Drosophila melanogaster: one gene and its partners. The protein of the gene in region 3 interacts with the protein of the main gene of each other region in a pairwise test. Each region holds a gene or a part of one and is shown on either strand. Other genes may lie near its edges.

Region 1 (7,911 bases), on a different chromosome or scaffold from region 3:
ATTCAATTTATGCACACCCATTTAGCACGATCTGCCTCAATATTAATTGACTTGTACTAATAAATGTTTTTTTTTTATCACAGAATACCTGCAAGACATAGAAGCAACGTCATCGACGTGCAACAGCGAAAACGGAAAGGAGATTTTTACTGAGACGGATATTCTTGACTTTGATATAAACATGTTTGCCGAGGAGGATCTGATTGAGCTTGAGGGCAAGAAGACGGATCCCTTCAGTCCGGCAATGGACGGGATGAACAACGACAACCTAGACGACGACTTTCTACAATTGAATGACCTGCTTAACGAGGAGGAGACTTTCGACATGTCATCGATGTCCGGCGTCGGTATCGACATCAACCAGGAGCAGGAACTGGACTTCATCAACATATTCCACAACTCGCAGCCAACGGCCATGCTCACCAGCTCAGAGGACCCCTATCTCGCCACCTACTCTCAGGCCACATCCACATCCAGCACCACCAAATTCATCACGGAGGAGCCCCTGCTCGCCGACATGACCAGCTTCGACATCAGCTATACCAGCAGCCAGGAGCTCGGCTTCGGCCTTGTGGAGGACGTCAGCGGCAGTTTTGCCAGCAGTTGCAGTGACGTCGCCGCGGCCATCCCAGCCCCCATCCAACACCCCATCATTACCAACATCAAGCGTTCTGCTCCGGCCCCGGTCGAGTCGCAGCCCACCAAGCGCAGCCGACTGATGCTCCAGATCAAAACCGAGCTAGCTCCAGCATTCAGTCCGACCACACCGGAGATTATCAACCAGCTCCTGAATGATGATCGGGTAAGTATCTGTAAAGAACAGATTAAATGGTGTACCGAAAAATTGTCAGCTCTTTTGAAGTCGAAATATCCAGCACAGCCTAATTTACTTAATCTCTCCTATTTGCAGTTCGAGGCTCCCACCACAAGTACCAGTACCAGCACCAGCAACACTTCCATCAGCAGCAGCACCCATGCAGACATCGTAGAGGATCTACGCAGTGCCGAAGAGGAGACTACCACCGACTTCTCGGCGCCGAACACACCACACAGCAACTACTCAGCCAGCTCCAGCTGTGCGGCGCCCACCTGCCAGACCGGCTATGGTGGCTTCCTCACTGCTCCCACCTCGCCCGCCTATTCAACAGCCAGTACGTCCGTGTTCAGCCCTTCGCCAGCCAGCGGAATCAGCGGCAAGCGGAAGCGCGGTCGCCCTGCCAAGGATCATGCCGACGGTCCCGATCCCGTGCTCATGTCAAGCATGAAAAGCGAGGAGGAGAGGAAGGCCTACCAGGACAGACTCAAGAACAACGAAGCGAGCCGCGTATCGCGCCGGAAGACGAAGGTGCGCGAAGAGGAGGAGAAGCGCGCCGAGGACACGCTATTGGCCGAGAATCTGCGACTGCGTGCCCGGGCCGACGAAGTGGCCTCCCGGGAACGGAAGTTCAAGAAGTACCTGATGGAGCGCCAGCGGCAGAAGAGCACTTACGTTAAGCAGGAGCAGGACTGAGATTCTCGTAGCCATAGAATAGAAATTGCGGAGCATAAGCCTGTCATAGTACCTATCGTCGTCATCCAATTGTTTAGTTAGTTAAGTTGTCGTTGAAGAAGTCGAGAAGCAGAAATCAAATTTCCATTTCCATGTGGACATCAGTTAAGCCACTTATTAGGCATAGTGATGGCGCCCATAGTGCGCGAGGAGTGTTTAACTTTAATTTTACTTTTATTATGTTTGAGAAAACTAAAAAATTTTTATACCCACGGATATGTTTTTCGTCCAAAGCGTAATCAAAAAAAAAAAAAGCACAACAAAAAAATGATTACGAGTTCGTATGTTTTAACCCCATTGATGAACAAAAAAAAGTTTAAAAAATGTCAACAAAAAAATATGCTATTGTTAAGAACAATTGAAATGTATATTTTACAGATATCAACTTATATAACCGTAATTGTTTGAATAAAAAGCATGTTTCAATAAACGTGACAAAATCAACTAACTTTGTATATTTGAATGGGTTCTATAACGTTCTTCATTTTAATGATTAAATGTTACAATTTTATTACAACCATTTTGTATTGACAGACACTAGACAAAATTAGATTTTGATATCTTTTATTGGATTTTAAACCATATTCATATAATCGTAATCTAAGCATTGCACCGACTTAAAATTTTGATCAACTGCCTAACGGAATTAACTAAATGGGCAAAGTAACAAGTTGGGTATAGACTCAATTGGAATTGGAATTTGACCCCAGCGAAAACGGCTACTGGGGCACGACAACTTCGCGATTCGAGATTCAGCCGATTGTGCGGGTGTGATTCACGGCAATTACTCCACCACTTGGATTTGATTTGAATGGGATTGCGGCAGTGCAATTTGCTAGATCTTCGTTGCGTGTGGTGGCAGTAAATTGCGATAGCTGCTGCTGTTGGGTAAACATTTGAAGTGGCTTCGCGCGTCGCGTCTCGGGGAAGTGGATTTCGGGGCAAGGATTACATTTACGCCTGCTGCTCCTTAGACCCGTAATTGTAGTGAAGGAAGCGAAGACCCTGGATCGATTGGGCGGTGGCATTGGTAGCGTGGCAGGCGAAGAGCAGCCAATTCCTGGGCTGGACCTTGTAGGCAAATCGCATAAAGATGCACGAGTACAGGGTCAGAGCTGGAAAAGATCGAGGATAAGCATTTCTGGGAGACTTATTTACATAGGCAAAGGCACAGGACAAATTATAAGCAAAATTTGTCATAATTTCCATTACATTATGTGCATATTGCCTCGCTGGCATCTTATTCCGATGGAATCGGATTATGGAGTAAAATGGACAAATTGTGCTTAGTTTTTTCTCTGTGCAATCTTATCGGCAGACGTTTCGACAGTTTCCGTATCTGGCTTATCAGGCATTATAGAGTGATTTGTTTAGAACATATCACAGCGGCTCTGATTACGACATCTTAAGCGAAAACTTTCGATGCCAGTCGCGCGTGTATGGATGCCAGATGGAGGCCAAAACCCAAGGGGGGATATCCTTACCCAATGTCATTTTGCCGGAGATGAATTTGGGACTCTTTTGTGTGTCGGCGAGAGCAGCCACCGGAATACCCCAGTTGGCCACCGGGCCCCAGAAGTGGGTACTGTGGATATAAAAAGCAATATTTACAATAAGTCATATAAGGCCAATTGATAACCAACAAACAGACCTCATAAAGTAATCCCGCCACTCCTTTGAGGCCGTTGTGGACATAGCTCTCCTGATCGACATGATGCTACCGCTTTGCTAATTGAATATATCTGACCAGAAATGTTAATCAGAAGCGCACCTGGTGGAATAATTTAGATTAGATTGCCATTGCCGCGCAATATAAATCCGAAAAAAATCCCCTCAAGGTCTTACAGGTTGTTCGCCGTGTTGTTGTTGTTTTTGTGGTGCCAGCTGTTGTTGCTGTTGTTTGTTTACCGCCTGGAACACCTTGATCGAAAACACGAAGAATTTGGAACTGCAGGCCGCGTTGCAGGTGTGTGAAGTGTGTGCCTAAATATTCACAAGCTAGGATATATTTTTTGTTTATGTGTCGGCCGTGTTGTCACTCCGAAAGTTATATAAAATTAGTCAAACGAAAGGCATCAACGAGTTTTCTCTGCCGCGTCGCTGTCGCGTCGGAGTTATCGATAGCCCGTACAATCGCCACATCCAAGGGTCACACTTAGAGATGGACGTCGAATGAAGCGAATGCGATAGGTTTTAAATCTTTTTTTGAAAAGTGGTTAACATAACCTTCAGCAATATTTTAGTTGGGCAAATTTGTGCCCAGGCACTATGCTAAGACTTTTATTAATAAAATATTTATAACAAAAAAATATTCTAGCATTGTAAACAGTGTAAAACAATACAATGCTTTCAAAGCTCTACGCATAAATATCAAGAAATCTAGTATATTGATATTTATATTACATTATTAATATTAACTTAAATATTTATAAAGTCAATCGAAAATTAAACATTTAATTGCTATTCTAAAACGAGTTTAATCTTGTTGCTTTTTCATTTAAAATCCTGTAAGTTATACCGATATATTACACTATCGTTGAAAGTCATTGAAGCGCTTGATCGGTGTCAGGCATATACTGATCGCTGCAACACTCGACTCGATTTGCAATCTCGATAGGCTTGTCGCAGGGACTTCCCTCCCTATATCCGCCGAAAAGCGGATGCTTGATGTGCATTAAGCCCGCTAATTACAAGTGGACGTAATGTGTGCATTTGCAACGCATTTGCTGAAGTGCGGGCGCCACGGTTTTCAAGTGGTTAATCCACCACGCGCTTCCGCTCTTCACTTAATACGCGCTCTTCCGGCTCTCTTAAAAGGACCAAGGCGAAGAGAATTGGGGCGATGGTTTCTGCGCCGACAGCCTGCGCCTGAGTCCTTGGCCGCGGCGGCAGAAGACCAAAGCAGCACAACCAGCAGCATCCGAGTGCGAAGCAACCAGCATCCAAAACCGAATCCAAAACTCCGGCTCAGTGTGAATTTGCGACTCGAGAGCGACGGCGGCTCAAAGGAAACTTGGCTCGGTAAATAGTCCTTATCGAAGGAATCCTGGCACCAACAACACACCACATCCTCTGGCCAAATAACAACAACAACAACAACAAAGTGAAAAAGCGGAATAGGCAAATGGAAATTGTGTTGGCAGTCGATGCCGCTGCTGACTTCGCTGCCACTGTTCTGCCAACTTGTAATCCCCGTGTGTGTCTGTGTGTGTATGTGTGCGTTTGTGTGCTGTGTGTGTGCGTGCGTGCGAGTGTTTATATGTGGTCAGTGTGCCATTTTGCAAGCATTTTCCATGTGCGGTGCTTGGGAAAGCTAAAGAAAATTCAAATTATGCCCAAAGAAACCAACTCCAAGAATTGCCAAAACAAAGACAGATTTTGCTTCTTTAAATTTTTAAATGTTGACTACGCGTCATCAGTTGCCGCAGCTTCAGTTCAGTAAAACCTGAAAAGAAAAACCATTTGAAGAAAAATCAATCCTACACATAATGGTCACTTTTTTTTGTATTCCCACATTTGTTGCTAGTAAGCATGAAATTTTCGTACATTTTCCCCAGTAAGTCTGCCAAAAATGTTTTTCCACGCGAGAAAAAAGGAAAAGTTTAAGAGAAAACCAAATGAGCCGCTCCCAAAAAATCCGAATTTATCAACAAAAACAAGAGCAGAAGCAAGAAGAAGCGTGAAAATGGGGAAAAGCAAGAAAGAGCAACCACAACAACAGACAAAGAAAAGCGAGAAATATAATTGAAAATCAAAGAAAGGGAAACACAAAGCAACCAGATTTGTGAATTTTTTTAAAGGGATTTTTACCAGTTTTCTAAGTAGCGGAAGTAACTATGTGAAATGGGTGTAAAATAAAGACATACTAAAACTTGTGCTCAACTAACATTAAAGCGATTTATATAAAATAATTAGAATTAGGATTCAATATTAAATCCCAAAAGACCAAGAATGGTAAATGATTTCATTCGTAAAGCAAAAGGTGAAACACGTAAAAGAAAAGATGTATGAAACAAACACTCTGTTTGGGGTATAGCAAATATACATGTAGACCAACCATATAGGACGACCTACTTAGCGGCCCTTGAAGGTCTTTGTCGTTAGCTGGACACTTGTGTTTTCCTGGGCGAGATTTGCCGGACATAATTACTCGCTCCTGGTGGCGCATCTTGGCATCTTCGAAATGTCCCCAAAATGCCTCAATTGAATAAGTGCCAAATGGAGGCAAATAGCTAAAAAGGCTCCTCTTAAGCGCACTTAAGCGCACTAATCCAGTGCGACTGTGTACTCCGTACTATGTTGTTAAAGTGTCCGAGAGCTAAACAGAATCCAAATCTGTTCACTTGCTTGCTGTTGATTCAATCAAGCGCAAGACGGCACAATCATCCGCACCCACACAAATGCAGAGAGCTCAATGCAAATTGAGTTTATTGTTCGGTCAATTGAGGCGCACTCGTAAGACATTTATTTTATGGCCCGTAAGCAGATGAGGTGATTTGCGTTTAGTCGCCCGACTGCCACCCGTGCGAGGAGTTCGAGATCCGTGGCAGCACAATCATAGTGGACCGCCCCTTAAAAGAAAATCCTTTGATTTCTACAGGAAAGTGTCTCGAGTGAGTGAAATGCCAAGCTGAGAAGTGGAGAAACCAAGTGCTAAAGCAAAAGTTTACAACCAAATAATAATACCAATGTAATACAAAGCAAACGAAAGTGTTCAGCAACAAACATTCCTCGCCCCGGTCACTGGATCAGGATATATATATATACACATACAAATAGCAAAAAAAAAAAAGGATACGCATACGGATAAAGATAAGGATAAGGAGCCATAGATGCAGCCCTAAGTAAGTACGACTGCAATTAGCATTAGCTTAGCCACTAAGTCGTCAATCGAGTGTTTCAGTTTCCGTTTCAGTTTCGGTTTCCGTTCAGTTTTTGGCTTTTCCTACCAAAAGGGCGTGTGTTTTGTATCCTCGCCTCTCAGCATCTCTCTTTGCGTGTGTGCCCGTGTGTGTGTGTGTGACGCTTTCTCTCTAGCTTTCGCTTCTTGATGTTGTTGTTGCCGTTTTTCATTGATGTTGATAGCCTGGTACATCATCAACTTGCTGCTCGGCTGCGCCTCTTTACTTTGTGTGTAATAAAATTGATGATAAAATAAAACTGGATAATGGGTGATTTTCGGTCTTCGTATTCGTCTCCTCGAGAGAATTGCGAGCTGAGCGCTACCACAGACGGCAGCCAAAGCCATCACCATCAGGCAGGAGCCAAGAGTTGTCAAGTCCGTTGTTTACCGTCTCTCATTTTTGTGGTAAAATAGCAACACACACACACACACATATATACTCGCACAGAAAACCACACATTTCTCTTTTGTCTCTTCCCTGGACTTACACCACGTTACTACAAACACACACACGCACTTTCTCTTTAGCGCTCTCTCTCTTTCTCTCTCTTCGTGTGTCCTTTGTGGGTTACTTGGTGTGTGGGTGGGTGTAGGGGGCTGCATACTGTGGCTGATAAGAACACTGCACAGTTGTTAATGGCTCTGAAAGCTTGCAACATTTTAATCACGATAATAGCCTTCGATAAGAAGTTAATATCAATCGTTGTACAGGAATGCCAAAGTACAGTGAAACGTGCAAATGTCCTTATATCTAAAACAACAAATATTAAGAATTTCTGCACTTTGTAATTATGTTATTTTTTCATTAATTTATCAATATATTTTCACATGCCTTAAGAACGAAATGTACTTACCGAACCGGAAGTCAGTAGCTTCAATTTTCTATAAAATTATCTCCACATCATATCTTATCTTTTATACATTATATATGTATACGATAACCAAATACAGCAATTCTCTGCGTCTCAAATCAATTTTTAACACATACACTGGTTGGAGATAAAAGAAAACGAGTAAACTGTATTTGCCACTGGAGATGGGACGAGATAAATACGTGGATCTAGAGTGAAAATCAGGGGGCTATCATCGGTTGCTCCCGCCCCCCAGAGGATGCCGAACTGCGAGGAATGGGAGGACATTAAGGGAGCACACGTTCCATCTTAGCCGGATGCTGGCATAATTTGGCCGTCGTATCGTATTTAGCCGGGTTAATTACCTAACATTGTGTTGATGGCTGATGGCTTAAGCGTTTCATGGGACGCCATAATGTGGCCGGCGTGTCCTGGAGGCGCTTTTTAAAACGCTGCCAATTGTTGTTGCTGCCACTGGCAATTGCACACGCAGATTGGCCGCAATGGTTTCTTGGCCGCATTGAGACTTCCGGCTTGATGCCGTGGAAATGACTGCGATAAGGTTAAATATTTAATAGGTTTTCCGGCTCCTTCAACTCTTGCTTGTT
Region 2 (6,757 bases), on a different chromosome or scaffold from region 3:
GACGACATATGGTATGTTGCCATATACAGGTACAACACACTCCCATGGTTTTTTGTCTCTTAATTAGCCGACTACAAAAATAATTTTCTACAAAGGAGAGACGGCGGCGAAAATATCATCAGAATGCATAATGACAGTTTCCGGGCTGTGTGTTGGTTTTTAGTTTTTTTGGTTTTTTTTTTTGTTTTTATAAAATCTGGACAAAAGCGTAGATGACACAGGTGCGCCATCTCGCGGTATATTCAAAAACTATGCTGTATGCATGGCCAGTGACAGGGGTTAAGGGTTATGGGGCTAGGGGCTAAGGGCTAAGGGGTTAAGGGGTTAATGGTCAGGGGCCAGGCCAAGGGGGGCACAGCGACAGTTGTCATATGGGTGGATTGTTTTTTGGCCACGGCAGGAAACGGAAGCTGGCAGCGCTAACGTGCCAAACTGCCAACTACAAAAGCCAACAACTCCTCGCTCTGTTAACTTGTTTATGTCGCCGTGTTGCTTTTGTGTTACTTTTTATGCTCAAATATAATTTGCTTGCTCCTCATCCCAATCTCATTACCCTTTTGTTGTGAGTAAAGTCATACCATTTGAACCATTTGATCGAACCCTATGTTAAGATTCAAGACATTAACTTGTAAAAATATGTTTTAAAATATAATGGTTAAAATAAATAATAAGCTTTATTTCTATGCAAAATCTCTTGCCTTTTATGCAAATATATAATATTTTCTCACGCAGTTTTTCGCTTTAAGAACTGTCAGCAAATATTTTTTTTATATAATAGTATACGTTATAATTTTCAACTATATTTCGAAATTATAGGGTATATAAACTATTGGACTTTTTACCATGCAATAATTTTCGAAAAACAAAGCCTTCGCGTATGTAGTTCCGTTTCCTAATTTTCAGATGCCTGGTGGCCATATAAATGCTAGTGACAATTTGCAACGGGCCCACCTCAAGCTCCTTTTAGCCCCTCAACCAACATTCGTTGTTTTTTTTTGTGATGGGAGGGGCGGGCAAGCGGCACAAAAGTCATTTTTGATTGTTTTCATGAAAATGAGCATAGAAAAATTATAATTAAAATTCATATGGAAATTGTCGAAAAAAGCAGCCACTACAGAATGGAAGGCGAGAACAATGGCCCGCTGATGTTGTTGTTGACCAAAAGATTTCATCTAAAAGAGACCCAAGAAATGCAGTGGTCGAAAAAGAGGGACTCCGAGCTGCGGGTTTATTGTTTGCGGGGAACATGTGTTCCTCCAACAATCCCCTTCCCCTTCGAGTTTCCCTCAATCTTTTCCCTGCCAAAACAATGTCAGCTTATAGAATTAGAAGAGCTCCAAAAGGGGTTACAAGTGAAGGTCCAGAGGAACGAAGGGGTGGTCTCTACCTGTGCACCACACATATAGCCAAAAGCACTGAAAAAAATGCTCCATCGAAATACTTAAGACATAAGTACTACCACTAAAGCTTGAATAACTAAAGGCTAAAACTATTTTTGCTGCTGTTAGTAATTATCCAATTAAGTTTATTTGAATACTATGATTCGAAATTGTAGTATACGGAATATTATATTTTTTTTTGTAGTGTACACAAAGCACAATGGTCAGAGGAGCCAGATGGAAAAACGCATGCCGGCTGCTTATTTTCTTGTTGTCGTTTCATTTTTGGCACTTTTATGCGATAAAATATTTAATTATATTCGGCAGCTTCGTTTGTGCATTGTGCGGTGGCCTTTCACAGCCGTTTTAGCCCATTTTACATCACCTTGGGGAGTGGGCGTGGCTGAAATTGCATTTCGAGTGTCTGCCGCAAAGTATGCAATGATTTCGGATGCCTTTTCCATTTGAAAAGTGGCAGGAATGGGCATTACAACGTTTTCAACAGAATAAATTGAAGATTACCCTGCGATAAAGGTAGAATTTCGAAAATAGTATGGTATTCAAGAAACCAATTGGATATATACTGTTAAACCATAGATTATAAGATTTGGAAACTATTCTTAAGCGTTGATCAGAGGAGCTAAGTGTATTTCTACAAATTGTTTGTGTTGAATTTAGAATATTCCTTTTTAACCAGCGGCCGTGGTTGTTGCTCTGGTTGTAGTGGTTGTTGTGGTTGTAGTTGTTGTTGTTGTCGTGGTGGTGGTGGTGGCCAATGGTCGCTTGATGATCGTTATCCGTATACATCCGGCATGATCCGGATGCTCACCGATGGGCGCCGTGTCGCCAAGGCTTAAACACTCCAGGGCAACCAACAGTGCGAATATGTGCTTTATGGATTGCCTCATCGTGATCCTCGGCCCGAGAATTCCCCCAAACAACTGATTGTGTTCAACGGCGCTTCCATTCATTTTTATAGTTCGCTTTTCTTGCAGCTCCATTCAATTGGCCACAATGACGACGGACAATTGGATATGTTGTATCAACAAATACGATCACAAATTGCAGCCTCACCTCTGACCATGGGCCATGTAGGGTATGGCCCAGCCTATATATGTATACTGTATTTTCTCTCCAACATCAGATAGCTTTAATTTCATTTTTTTTTTGTCGTTGAACTTTTGTCAAATTAATGCCGATTTTAATCGCCGCGCGGGAAGTCCGGCCAAATGGTTTCAGACGTTACATATCAATAATGAAAGTCTCACAAAAGCGAAGAGATTTTAGATAATAAATGATGCAAATTGTGCAAAATGTAGAATTTTATATTTCAATGAATTCATTTCAGTATCTTAAAACGAGATAAGATAGATATATTGCCAATTACGAATAAATAAAAACGAATATTTACTAAAACTGTGGTTTAAAACACTGGAACTATTTTTTTTTTTTTTTTGCTGGAATGGTTTTTCTATATTTTTTGAAGCTATAGGATTACATAATGGTAGGTTTCATTTAAATCGTCCGTCAATGGAAATTTTGCCAGTTTTCTCGTGTTTTGCTTTCAATTTATTTAACCCGAAGAACTGGCGGTGGTGGTCCGAGGTGGTGGAGGAGCACCACGCGGTGGTGGTGAGCCGGTGAAGTTGCGATGATGACCGGCAGCCTCCAGTCCGCGCACCAAATTCACTCCAGCCACGGAGAATTGCTAGAATAAAGGGCACGAATATTTCGAATATGCGCAATCTGTAATGTTATCGAGCATTTAAGTTACCAGCAGACAGCAGCTCATGGCCAAAAGGAACAGTAGACAGAAACGCATCTTGATGTGGAATGATTGACATTGGCCTCGAACACCTCGCTTTTATGGGCCACCAATTGTTTAACCGATTTCAAACAAATATATTAAGAGTATATTTGTAATTGCTTGCGTAATTGGTGTGTCACATTAAATATCTAATTGAGGTGTTGATTTTGTAATAACATTATTTCAACTCGTCTGCAATTATCATGTGCACTGGAGCTCTCTCATTTTCGATCATACAACTGTGAATCGGTTGCAGTTCAAATGAACCTAATTCTTTGGGTCTAGGTCGAGGTAACAATGTTTATTCCAATGCGAATAGAATTTTATTGAGCGATTTTAAAAGTTTCGAGAAACTAGAGATATGTAATATTTATGCCTTTGGTGATTGTTTTTTTTTTTTACCAAAAGTACCAAACACCGTTTTCATTTTATTCACATGGTCTCTTAGTGAAACACGTCTCTGTAAAATGCGCCTGTGATGTCTGACTAATGAAATGTATCCTCCTGTATAAGCAGATATACCAACCACCCCCCAACTAATAACTAATGCCATAAGCCACTCCAGATTGCAGCGCTCGTGACTTGTCGTCGAGCATTTGATGAACTGCCACAGAATGTGGATATATATTTGGATTGGCATTGAGATTTCAGATCCACAACCCAGATAGGCATAAACGTGTCGGGAAAGTTTTATGACCAGTTCCTTTTACCTTACTCAAAATCCCCCATCGAATACGGTTACTGAACTTTGACATATTTGCAACACTGAAAAAAAAAACATTGCTACATAGCAAGCAAGCAATCTCAAATATAAAATCTTATATCAAAACACTAAAATTCCTTTTAAAATGCTTAAAAGATATACAAATAGCAGATACTAATGTTATTATTATTATTATTATGTACGCATAAAGTTAAAACGTGTTGAACTGAATTATTTTTTGTTCTCTCTGCATCGAAACCAAATCCAGTCATAAACTACCAAATGTCAGCAGGAACAGGGGAAAAAATCATAAAAGTCCCCAAACCGAATTCTGTGGCCCACTTTTATTGGATTTTTACGATAAGCCTTGGCTGCGTGTGTTACTTTTTAGGATTCTTATTTTTGTCAATGATAATTCGAAAAGCACTTTCGGCGCAAATTGCAGCTGTTATCGCTAATCAAATGGCACAAAGGACGCAGGACTTTATATATACGACTATAGAGGGATATACAGGCACATATCTGGCGAGTGTCTCCGGTCAGAATGCAAATCAAACAAACAATAAATTGAATCAGGACATTGTTGAATGTAACAGATAGCCCCAAAAACAATGAGCAAGCCTAGCTGAACACATGCATATCCTGGAGACATTAAGGATATCCTTGAGTAGATGCAATTTTCTAACCAATATAATTCATAAATTTATTTTCAATCCTTTCCGCACATAAATTTTCATATTATGCACACTCACTCACAGACAGTAGTCGTCCTTACCTCGACCCTATTTTTCTCCCAGGCCTATTGTCCTGCGGCATGTCCTGTGTGCGTTTGGTTATTATTTGTCGTCGTGCTTGTCATTATTTATATGGGCAGGCGAGAGATAAGTTGCTGCAATTGTGGCACCCCCTTAAAACAGAACCCCAAAACCCCAATCCCCAATCCCCAATCCGCCAGCCCCCACCCCAAAACAGGATGCAGTCCAGGTCCTGGCAATTACACAAGCACAGATACAATGATACACGGATGCAGAATGTCCTTCGGTGTGCGTATGTTTGCAGGTTGTTGGCCCAAAATTTTGATTTATAAATGCCAACACCGAGCAGGTTATACCACCAGCAACAGCCACCTCATCATCCCTTCCGCATTTTCGAAATTTCCCCCAGGAAGCTGCAGTTACTTTTGGCTGACAAACGTCCCCAGGATCTGAAGAGAGTGCAACTCAAGTGGCCATTAATATATCAGTTCAATTCATATTTGAAATTTTGCATTTCCTAACAGGACGGGAAACGAGGACGAGGACGACGCCGAGGCCACAGATCCTTGCCCAGCTGGCACCTAGATATAACCACTCCTTCGCCCGGAATTCCCCCGCTCCCACCACGCATACGATTATGATTTGTGTCTTACTTAATGCACAGAGTCCTACGAATTTTGAACACTATGCGAAACGAAAAGTTTCAAAATTTCAATGTGGGAATGCTTCATCAAATTATTAATTAGTATGCTCAATATAATATTAAGAACAAGTTATTGTGATCAATTGAAATCGCAAATGAAATATTGTGTATATTTTAATTAATGAAAGTTACCCAACTTTTGCCGCTGTGTAACAACAGTGCCCAACGGCACAGAACTGAACTGGTTAGCTGTTAGCTGAGTGGAGACGGCGGCGTCGTCTCAATCTGATTGATTTAGAATTCCAATTGAGACTGCATGAAATATGTTTGCTTCGTGTCTGGCTTCTGGCTGCTGTCGTTGCCGGAGGACCTGAGAGTCCTTCCGTGTGCCCCCTTAGCCCGTTAGCCCGTTAGCCCCTTAGCCTCTTAGCCTCTTTGGCCCCTTGGAACCCAACACATCCCCCCCCCCTTCCCCTTCGGCAGCCCAGCATTTATGCATGGGCATATCCTTTTGCAAAATTTGCATTTTCGAACAATTGCAAACGGCAGCAGCAACGGCAGTAGCAGCAGAGGGAGCAAAACAGCAGGAAGAGCAGCAGGACAACGACAACGACGACGACTTATTGGTATTTCATTGATTTATGACACTTGTGAAACAATTTGGAAAATCACAGATTAGCAGCCGAGAGCAGGACTAATTATACCCTACGGCTGATTGGGAAAGCACCTGCGACACACTCATTCTCCACATTCATTCCCTTGGGTTAAATGCAGCACTTATTTGCACTTTGTCATGTAAATCGGTACTAATTGCATACAAGAGACTAAGTAGAGGGCATTGGTATATGTGTTTTAGTTGCGTAAAAAATAATTTAAATAAAATAAAGGACATCGTCGGTTGTCACAATTCAGTTTATTTTACTTCTGCCTAACAAAGTGACAATTCGGTTCTAAAATGTAAATGTCCAAAAATGTCAACCTATAAATTGGGCAATTCGAATTGGTTAGGTTACCTCAGTACCTCAGACTTTGCATAAACCTAAGTAACAACCTATGGGTTGTCATTAATTTGGCACTTTTTTCGTCCAGAGTGTAGGGCATCTTTGAGATATCAGCAAACCGAACGGAATTAAGCCAAGCGAAGCTCCTTCATCATCATCTTCTGCATGGCTCGAAGTTCCAAACCAGCAAAGGACCTGCAGACTCGAACAATTGAACTTTGCCACCCGCTGTCCGCTTAACCCCCGTTTGCCTTAACCCACCAGTGGCACATGTCCTTCCGCACTTTCTCTGCAATTTCTGGCCATCGTCTTTGCCACAACTGCGACTCCAACTGAGATTTATATGTCAGCCAAAGGGTGGGCGGCCTAGCCCCTCGTTGCCCCAAAGTCCCCCTGAATGGACGTGCAGTGATTAGGCTACCAGGCTACAAACGATTTGTTGCATGTTGTTGCAATTGATTGTTGCAAT
Region 3 (7,871 bases):
GCGCAGACTCAACATTGTTTACTTTCGTTTGTAAAATCGCCGTCTGCCGGTTGCAAAAGCGTTTGATGTCATTTTGGGGCCCGAGTTTTCCTTAACTCAGATCTGTTTCCCTCTCGTGGTCAGAATTAAGTGCTGTCGCTTTTGCTGCCAACTTCTTTTTATCTAAGGTGTAGGGAAATTGTTTGGCTTGACTTTTAAATTGGCCTTAAAGGTTGAGTTCATTGGACTTTCTTAATTGGAAACCAACGCTGCACTTGAAAATGTAGCCTGGTTTTTATCAAGTCTACCTGTTAACTTCACTTTAAAAAACACTTTATATACTCCTTAACTGCGACAGTTGGATCTAATTGATCTATTACATTTTTAATAGAAATGTGGCGTGATAGCGTTTAAAATTTCTAAGATCATTGCCATACTTTCAACACTCATCGAATCTGTTTAACAATTTATTGGTATGCTATTTAAAAAATGCAAAGCTTTTTAAATGATTTTTATTCTTTATTGCTGTGGATAAAGGAGCCTGCAGGTGGCCAAATGTCGCAATCAATAGTCGTTTATAAACACATAGTCAATTGCGAAACGCTATCACCCCAGTCAACAATATGATATTACACCTCAAAAAATATGACTGTGATTAAATATGACTTTCATGATTAAATGAAAGGAAGCGTTTATCATAACTATGCAATTTAATGGTCATTTAAACTTAACCAAAATTCATTTATCATTTTATTTAAAAAAAATAATTTAAAAAGCATAATCAGGCTTCATAACATTTATCAAGCGATTTGAAAAATTTAATCAATTTCTTAACTATTTTAATCGATTTAAATTACTCGCTATGGTAAATGCTTACTGTGGCTAAAAAAAATGAATATAGTTAGCCCGATCGATAAAAATTGTAATAAAAGTTAAATGCTTCGTTTATTAGGCCTTTTTGTGATGTAGGTATAGAGGGCTCAGTTTAGATATATTGTTTTACTTTCAACTTTCTGAAAACACAAATCGATTTTCCTCAGTGCACTTTGCCGTATGGAAATCTTAGTTCGGTTACACGCAACTTCTGCGCACACGAGACCAAAATATGAAAACAACCGCCTGATGCCTCCCCACAAAGCAATGTCACCCAATCCACAGATGGCGCCGGGTCGTTCGTGAGTGTCAATTTTCGGCGATTTTCATTCGTTTTTCATTTTCTTGTGCGGATGCAGCTTTTAAAAGCTCTTGGCTCCTTAGTTTGGCAGTAGCCGATGCGAGTGGCTCATTCAATTAGACGGCTTCCATTTAACCCGATGTGTCGCGGCCTTCTCCGTGATACCAATTTAAATGCGGAGTTCATATGGACAAAATGCTAACGAGCCTTATCGCACTGCTGTTATCGCTACTTTCCCTAAATCCCATCACGAATGCTTGTAAGTGAAGAAGATCGCATCGCCGATAGGGATTGTGATTTGTGTGCTTAGCTGGTTTCCTTTTTTATAGCCAAATACCACAGAGAGGCATTGCAATTCTTGTTGCGCAACGGAAACTTCGACCTAAATCCACTAAACTGTCACATTTTATTGTGGGAAACGTGCCCTAAGCGATTTATAGATTATCAGCTGTTTACAAGGTAAGTAAAGTGAGAAATGTGAAAGTGACAAACATGTTGAAAATTAATTTAAAAGACGAAAATAATGTTTTTAAAAAGAGTACGTTATTGAATGAAGTGCTAAAGACAATTATCTTAACAAATAGCGAAATTGAACAAGATAAAAATTAGATTTAGGTTTGAATGAATAATTTAATTTACAATAAGCCAGTAAGACCTCTAAAGCGAATTGGTTTTCAAATATCAACAGCCTTACCACGCTAGCCAAATAAGCATTCCAATCTTTCTCTTTTCTGCGATGCAGATTAACCTTATAAATGTTCCCATTTTACTCCTGAAATCTTTCCTTTCATTTTCCTGACCGTGAACCACGAAACAAAGGCAGTATGAAAGGCCAGCTAGTCACCAAAAAGATGGAAATCTGATAAAACTTCACAATCGCATAGCTAAAACGAATGACTTAGGAAACAAACTTGGCAATTGTCGTCGAATAAAATTATAAGAATTTGCATTAAATGCGAATGTTATGTAAATAATAAACATATGAATTACAAACCAAAGACACCATGAAAAGGCAATGGCATTGAGCTGGGGGAACGAAACCGAAACCATTTCCAACCGAAAACTCATAATCAAAATCAGTGCAGCGTTGCGTGTGCCATGGATTTTCATTTTCATAGACGTCGCCAGGCGGCAAATGCGGCAAAAGCAGCAAAAGCAGCAACAGCAGCAATTGCATCAACAATGAAGCCAACACAACAGCAAAAACAGCAGCAACATTATACAGATATTAGCCAAAGTCGTTCACGTTTTGACTGCGAAGTTGAGCAAAGTCAAGGCAACAGGCGGTGGGCTGAGCAATTCTTAGGCCAGTTTTTACTGTTGCTGCTGCAGTTGCTGTTACGGCTGCTACTGCTGCTGTTGCTGCTTCAGCAGGCGTCTGCTGCATTTTCCTTGGCTGCGCATTTCGCGCTTTTGCAGCCCATTTGCAGTGCACAGCGCGAATCTGCAAGACGTGGTGCGGATTGCTCGCGAAAAAATCAAAATTGCTAATTTCAATGCAAAGGATTACGATGAAATCGCTAGGCAAACACAAATGGATATCAATTAGAGAAACGTGCAATCGGAGTGCAAGTTGTCAATTTAAACGGGAAAGCGCTGTGGAATCTGGTTAAAAATATACGAAATATGTGAAAGGCGATGAAAGAGGAAAGCCAAATATCCTCACGGAAAATAACTCATTAATAAGTGACTTGAAAATAAAAATCTCTAAATTATTTCATAAACAAATCAGTCGAATGGAATTAAATTAATGAAAAATTTGGTGTAAAATTGGGTGAAATTAAATTTTTTTTTTAAATTGTGAAAGATAATAAGTTAACTTTATATGCATGAGCTAATAACAACCTGAATTATGAGCTCAAAATTTTAGTAAATATTATTACCAGTTAAAGTATTGATAATGTAACTTTTTTATGTGAAAATAATCGAAACTGCATTGAAATTTTGGCTTTAATTAGCATTTTAAATAAGTGAAACAACAAGTCATAAGACGTTAAAGTCCAAATAAAAAATGAAACAAATCGTCGTGCTTTGCATATTCTCACTCTTTGCCAAAGGTAAAATACCTGAATTTATTTCACATAAAATGTGTTGATCAAGCTGAAAAAAAATCCAGTTCTTGTTTTTCCGTTCAAAAAATCTTGATCATTTACACATTTTAAAGTGTTTTTATGAAAAGGCAGAGAATTTAAGAATCGTGAAATGCAATTGCAGATGCACAAACATTGCTCCTAAGCCAAATGGATTGGAAGAATCTGCGCAACAGTGGAGCCTTGGACCTAAATGTCTTGCGCTGCTTTTTGCGCGACAAAAACTATTGTCCCAGTCCACATATCGATCACCGTCTGTATGCACCGTAAGTTCGATTGGATTCGAAGATATTATGAGTACTCCCAAAGTAATATTCCTTTTTGAGCAAAATCAAGTTTTATCGGTGAATCACACTTTTAAATTGGTATTAAGTCCATAAAGTGCTGATCAAAATGCTTGCAAATATATATTTTTTAAGTGCTAAAGATGTGTTTTCATCTTTAAAAATCAGTCGTGCCACATGTTTAGGTTCGATTTGTTTATAAATTTAAATGCCAAAAGCAGGAAAATTAATGTTATTAATTTAGTCGCTGGCGGGGGAGAAAGTTCCTCAGGTGTTAGGCAACTGGAATTTCAGACTCGGTTAGTGTGTCAACTGCCGAAACACTTGTCGCACTGCACTTGTGCAACCATAAGGATATTAAGCGGCAAAGAGCAAGAGAAAAAATAAGAGTACAATTAATGGGCGGGCAACTCGTTTCTCGAAACCAGCCACTGACCCACTAAGGATGGGATGCTTTTGCCAAAGGAGGCCGGCTTTTTCCACATCGAGCGCCGATCTTGGCCAGCGATGACATCAATTTCAATGGCCAATGCCAATAAAATGCTTTGTAAATGGCTCCTCGATATTTGCCCAACTTGTCTGGGCAAGATTACCGCCAGCTCTGGAGGCGAGACAAAGTCGCAACTGGCGAAGTCCATTTTTGGAGAGCAGACGGGTAATTGCGGTGGTAACAAATTTAACAACTGGGGGGATTACATGATGGCCAGCTTTTACGAGCCTGCTGATTGATGGTTGTATAACAGCGGGAAATGACCGGGCTGACACCTCCGTTCTGGGAAATCCGCGAAGGAATACAAATTGCTTTTTCTGCAACTATTTAGTCTCGTTAAGAATTTCTGGAAACCGTTTGGCTTGTAATTGGTGATGTATTTTAACTCATAGTTGTAAAGTCTATAATTTGATCCACTTTAAATGAATTTTTCATTATTACTAGCTTGATATTCAATTGAAAATCTTTCAAGATTAACTAAAGTTAAGAGTTAGCATGCCCAGATCTGTGCTTGCTGCACGAGAGATTTCTACGGTTTTATACACACATGGAATTTCCATAGTTCTATTTAAATGTATGCACAAAAAAGAAAACAGAGATATCTGCAAAATACTATTCCATTATTATATAGTGGCTTTTTACAATATTTTCAGCAATGGACCGCGTCGTGGAACTCCTTTAAATGTTAAGAACCCAATAACGCTTTATAAAGGTGGATTTAGCAAGCACCGCGAGACTGTCTTCATAATACACGGATTCAATGGAACTGCCATAGATATTCACCTGCAATTCCTTCGAGATGGTGAGTGCATCTATCTGTTAAATTATTATATTCTACAATATTAAGCTATAATTTATATAACTTTAACTCTCTCTTTTTAGCTTACCTATCCCGCGATTTCAATGTCATTACAGTGGACTGGCGACCTTTGACCCGCTATCCATGCTACCTCCACTCGCTTATAAACACCAGGTTAACTGCGCAATGCACCGCCCAGATCTACGCCTTCCTCACCCACTACGGAGCTGTCCGGGAACGGATCACTTGCGTGGGTCACTCCCTGGGCGCCCACATCTGCGGCATGATCAGCAACCACCTGACGCGGAAACAGTATCGCATCATTGGATTGGATCCCGCCCGGCCTTTAATTGAGCGCATGAAGAGCAACAAGTTTCGGTTGTCGATCGATGATGCCAACGTCATTCAGGTGCTCCACACCAATGCCGGTTTCCTGGGCCAGGAGGATAACTCCGGGCATCTAAACTACTGTGTCAACGGTGGACGCATCCAGCCGTTCTGCAAAGGAAATCCAATCAGTAAGGCTAAATTAAAGTAGTTTAATACCCTCTTTCTCGGAAAAAGAAATCATATATAAATAAATGTGCTCTCTATCAAACAGGAAAATCGCGATGTTCGCACTTCTTGAGCATCTGCTACTTGGCCACTGCCACATTTAAACACAATAAGTTCATGGGAGTACCGTGTCCCAATGGCTGCCTGAATCTTAGTGGATCCAAGAGGCTGCCAGTGAGCGGCAAAGTGAATCCCTTCGAGTTCGCCTCGCTGATAAGGGAGTACCACATAGGCAACGATGCCCCCGATGAGTAAGTTTATTAAAAACCATATATATAATTTATAACCAATTTCATATTTGATTTAGCGCCCGAGGCTGCATTTGCATTGATGTGCCGTATGCCAAGCACTGCCCCTTTACGGATGCGTAGGAGCTGGTCTTCAGTAGTTTGTAATTCTATGATAAAGCTGTCGATAATAAATTCAAGTAATATTATTTTTTTGGTCTTTGGGTATTTTAGTAAATATGAAGGAAAAATGAGAAATAATTACTTACCTTCTACTACACGTAGTAGGAGTTTATTATTAAAATGTTGCAAATTCCAAATTTAGTTTTCGAAAATTTAAAAATCAAATTCGATATACTAAGAGTTTGGTTCACCGTAATATACCAAAATTTATATCGAATATATGATATCGATGTTTGCAATCGTCATTGCAGTCGCTACAGCTGTTTGGTGTTTTACCATCTCTATGGACATTGTGTATATAAAACATTTGTTATTGCTCATAACAGAATTTCTCCATTTACTACAACCTGAAGATATATAGTTATTTATATCGTTAGTTTATTTAAAGTAAGTAAGATACTTATACCGTGTAAAATGTAAAACAATTGAAAAATATCATAACCCATTGTAAATCGCATATTATAGTTTGCCCAACAAGGAATTCCCAGGAAATATATTGTAATTCTTGAGATAAATATATAATCATGGGTTGCGATGGAGGAACTATTCCCAGGCGCGATGAGCTGGTGCGCGTGAAGCAAAAGCCAGAGCAGGTAAGTCTATTCGATTGGAGCACCTCCTAGCCAGACCGAAATATCATTTCTCGAACCCTACAGAAAGACAAAGATGCGGAGAGGGAGTTCCGTTGGCGCCACTGCACCTTGACCCAGCAAAGCCTCCAGGAGCCGATCGCCATGTGCGGCATGGGTAGGCTCTATTCCAAGCAGAGCGTCATTGAGCGACTGCTGGAGAAGGAACCGATGCCAGAGACAGCTGCGCACGTGAAGAGCATGAAGGACATTCGCCAGCTTAATCCCACACCCAATCCCGCCTTCACCGAGGAGGACAAAACTGAGGGACTGCTGGACACACGACATTCTCCTTACATCTGCAAGCTGATTGGCCTGGAGATGTCCGGCAAATTTCGCTTTGTGGCCCTTTGGAGCTGCGGATGCGTTTTATCAGAGCGTGCCTTGAAACAGATCAAAGGCAGTGTGGCTAGCACTTGTCCGCTGTGCCAGGCTGCCTATAGCGTTGAGGACGTGGTGGTCCTCAATGGCAACGAGGAGGACATGGAGCTCATGCGGGTCAAGATGGAAATGCGTGCGGCCAAGCGTAAGTCCTCCAAAAAGGACAAGAAGAGTGCCAAAAAGGTGGAGGTGAAAGCGGAGCCCGCAGAGGAACAGGAGCCAGTGGCGTCCACATCCAAGGCTGCAGCCGCAGAGAAGCCCACTACAAGCACAAAAACCAAGGCGGTGGCGCCGGTCAAACGACTGGGCGCCGTTAATGCAATGCAGGATCCCGAACTGAAGCGTCTCAAGAGCGACTTCAGCGTGGCCAAGGACCCGAAGGCCAGCGATGTTTACAAGTCCCTTTTCACCTCCCATAAAACCGAAAAGGACCAGGAGCGCGCCCACTGGGTCACCTATAATCCATTCTACAATTAGTCTAGATTTCGTTTAAGTTTGCTGTGTTAACTCAGTCACATGTCCATAGTTTGATCGTTGAAACCACACACACAGTTTCAAAATATACAACCGACAATGTATCGTGCAGCCTATCAAAAAGGTTTCCTTACCGTGCTTTACAGCGTAGGCAGTTCGCCCCTGAACAACTGGTCTTCCTATGTGAGTATCTGGCATTCAATGCAGCTGCCTCGTCTCTAGAAAGCATCCTTGTAACAGACCAAAAACGGGTATATCAAACGGATCTACGATGAGGACATCAAGTCCCTGGTGCTCGAGATAATGGGCTCAAATGTGTCCACCACATTCATACACTGCCCCAGCGAATGCAAGGAGCAGCTGGGCATCAAGTTGCCCTTCCTGGTGCTCCTTATAAAGAACATGCACAAGTACTTTTGCTTCGAAGTTAAGGTAAGGCCAAGTGCTATGAATTTATAGTAAACTCTGGACTGCACAATGATGACAATATATCCTTAGATTCAAGACGATCAGCGCTTCATGCGCCGTTTCCGAGTGTCCAATTTCCAGAGCAAGACCTCCGTGAAGCCCTTCTGCACGGCGATGCCGATGGGCATGTCACCGGGG

What was found. Proteins that work in one complex are often made in the same cells at the same time.
Region 1: the proteins of CG6443 (region 3) and Mpc1 interact in a two-hybrid assay, tested with the Drosophila melanogaster proteins (one large-scale study listed by BioGRID).
Region 2: the proteins of CG6443 (region 3) and CG15036 interact in a two-hybrid assay, tested with the Drosophila melanogaster proteins (one large-scale study listed by BioGRID).

Annotation. Positions count from the first base shown.
Region 1 is NT_033777.3:18,924,995-18,932,905, forward strand, and holds Mpc1 (mitochondrial pyruvate carrier), read right to left. Parts: upstream 3,666-7,911; 5' UTR 3,395-3,665; intron 3,321-3,394; 5' UTR 3,263-3,320; coding exon 3,201-3,262; intron 3,135-3,200; coding exon 3,034-3,134; intron 2,665-3,033; coding exon 2,504-2,664; 3' UTR 2,002-2,503; downstream 1-2,001. Other genes in the region: Xrp1, read left to right, coding at 84-802, 911-1,510. UniProt on the Drosophila melanogaster protein: Mediates the uptake of pyruvate into mitochondria.
Region 2 is NC_004354.4:7,422,526-7,429,282, forward strand, and holds CG15036 (uncharacterized protein), read right to left. Parts: upstream 2,318-6,757; 5' UTR 2,288-2,317; coding exon 2,069-2,287; 3' UTR 2,002-2,068; downstream 1-2,001. Other genes in the region: CG32726 (uncharacterized protein), read right to left, coding at 2,953-3,087, 3,154-3,201.
Region 3 is NT_033779.5:10,722,935-10,730,805, forward strand, and holds CG6443 (uncharacterized protein), read left to right. Parts: upstream 1-6,043; 5' UTR 6,044-6,168; intron 6,169-6,246; 5' UTR 6,247-6,305; coding exon 6,306-6,374; intron 6,375-6,437; coding exon 6,438-7,268; 3' UTR 7,269-7,364; downstream 7,365-7,871. Other genes in the region: CG6431 (uncharacterized protein), read left to right, coding at 1,340-1,412, 1,483-1,612, 4,671-4,819, 4,900-5,334, 5,418-5,622, 5,679-5,742; CG17118 (uncharacterized protein), read left to right, coding at 7,365-7,448, 7,506-7,697, 7,764-7,871.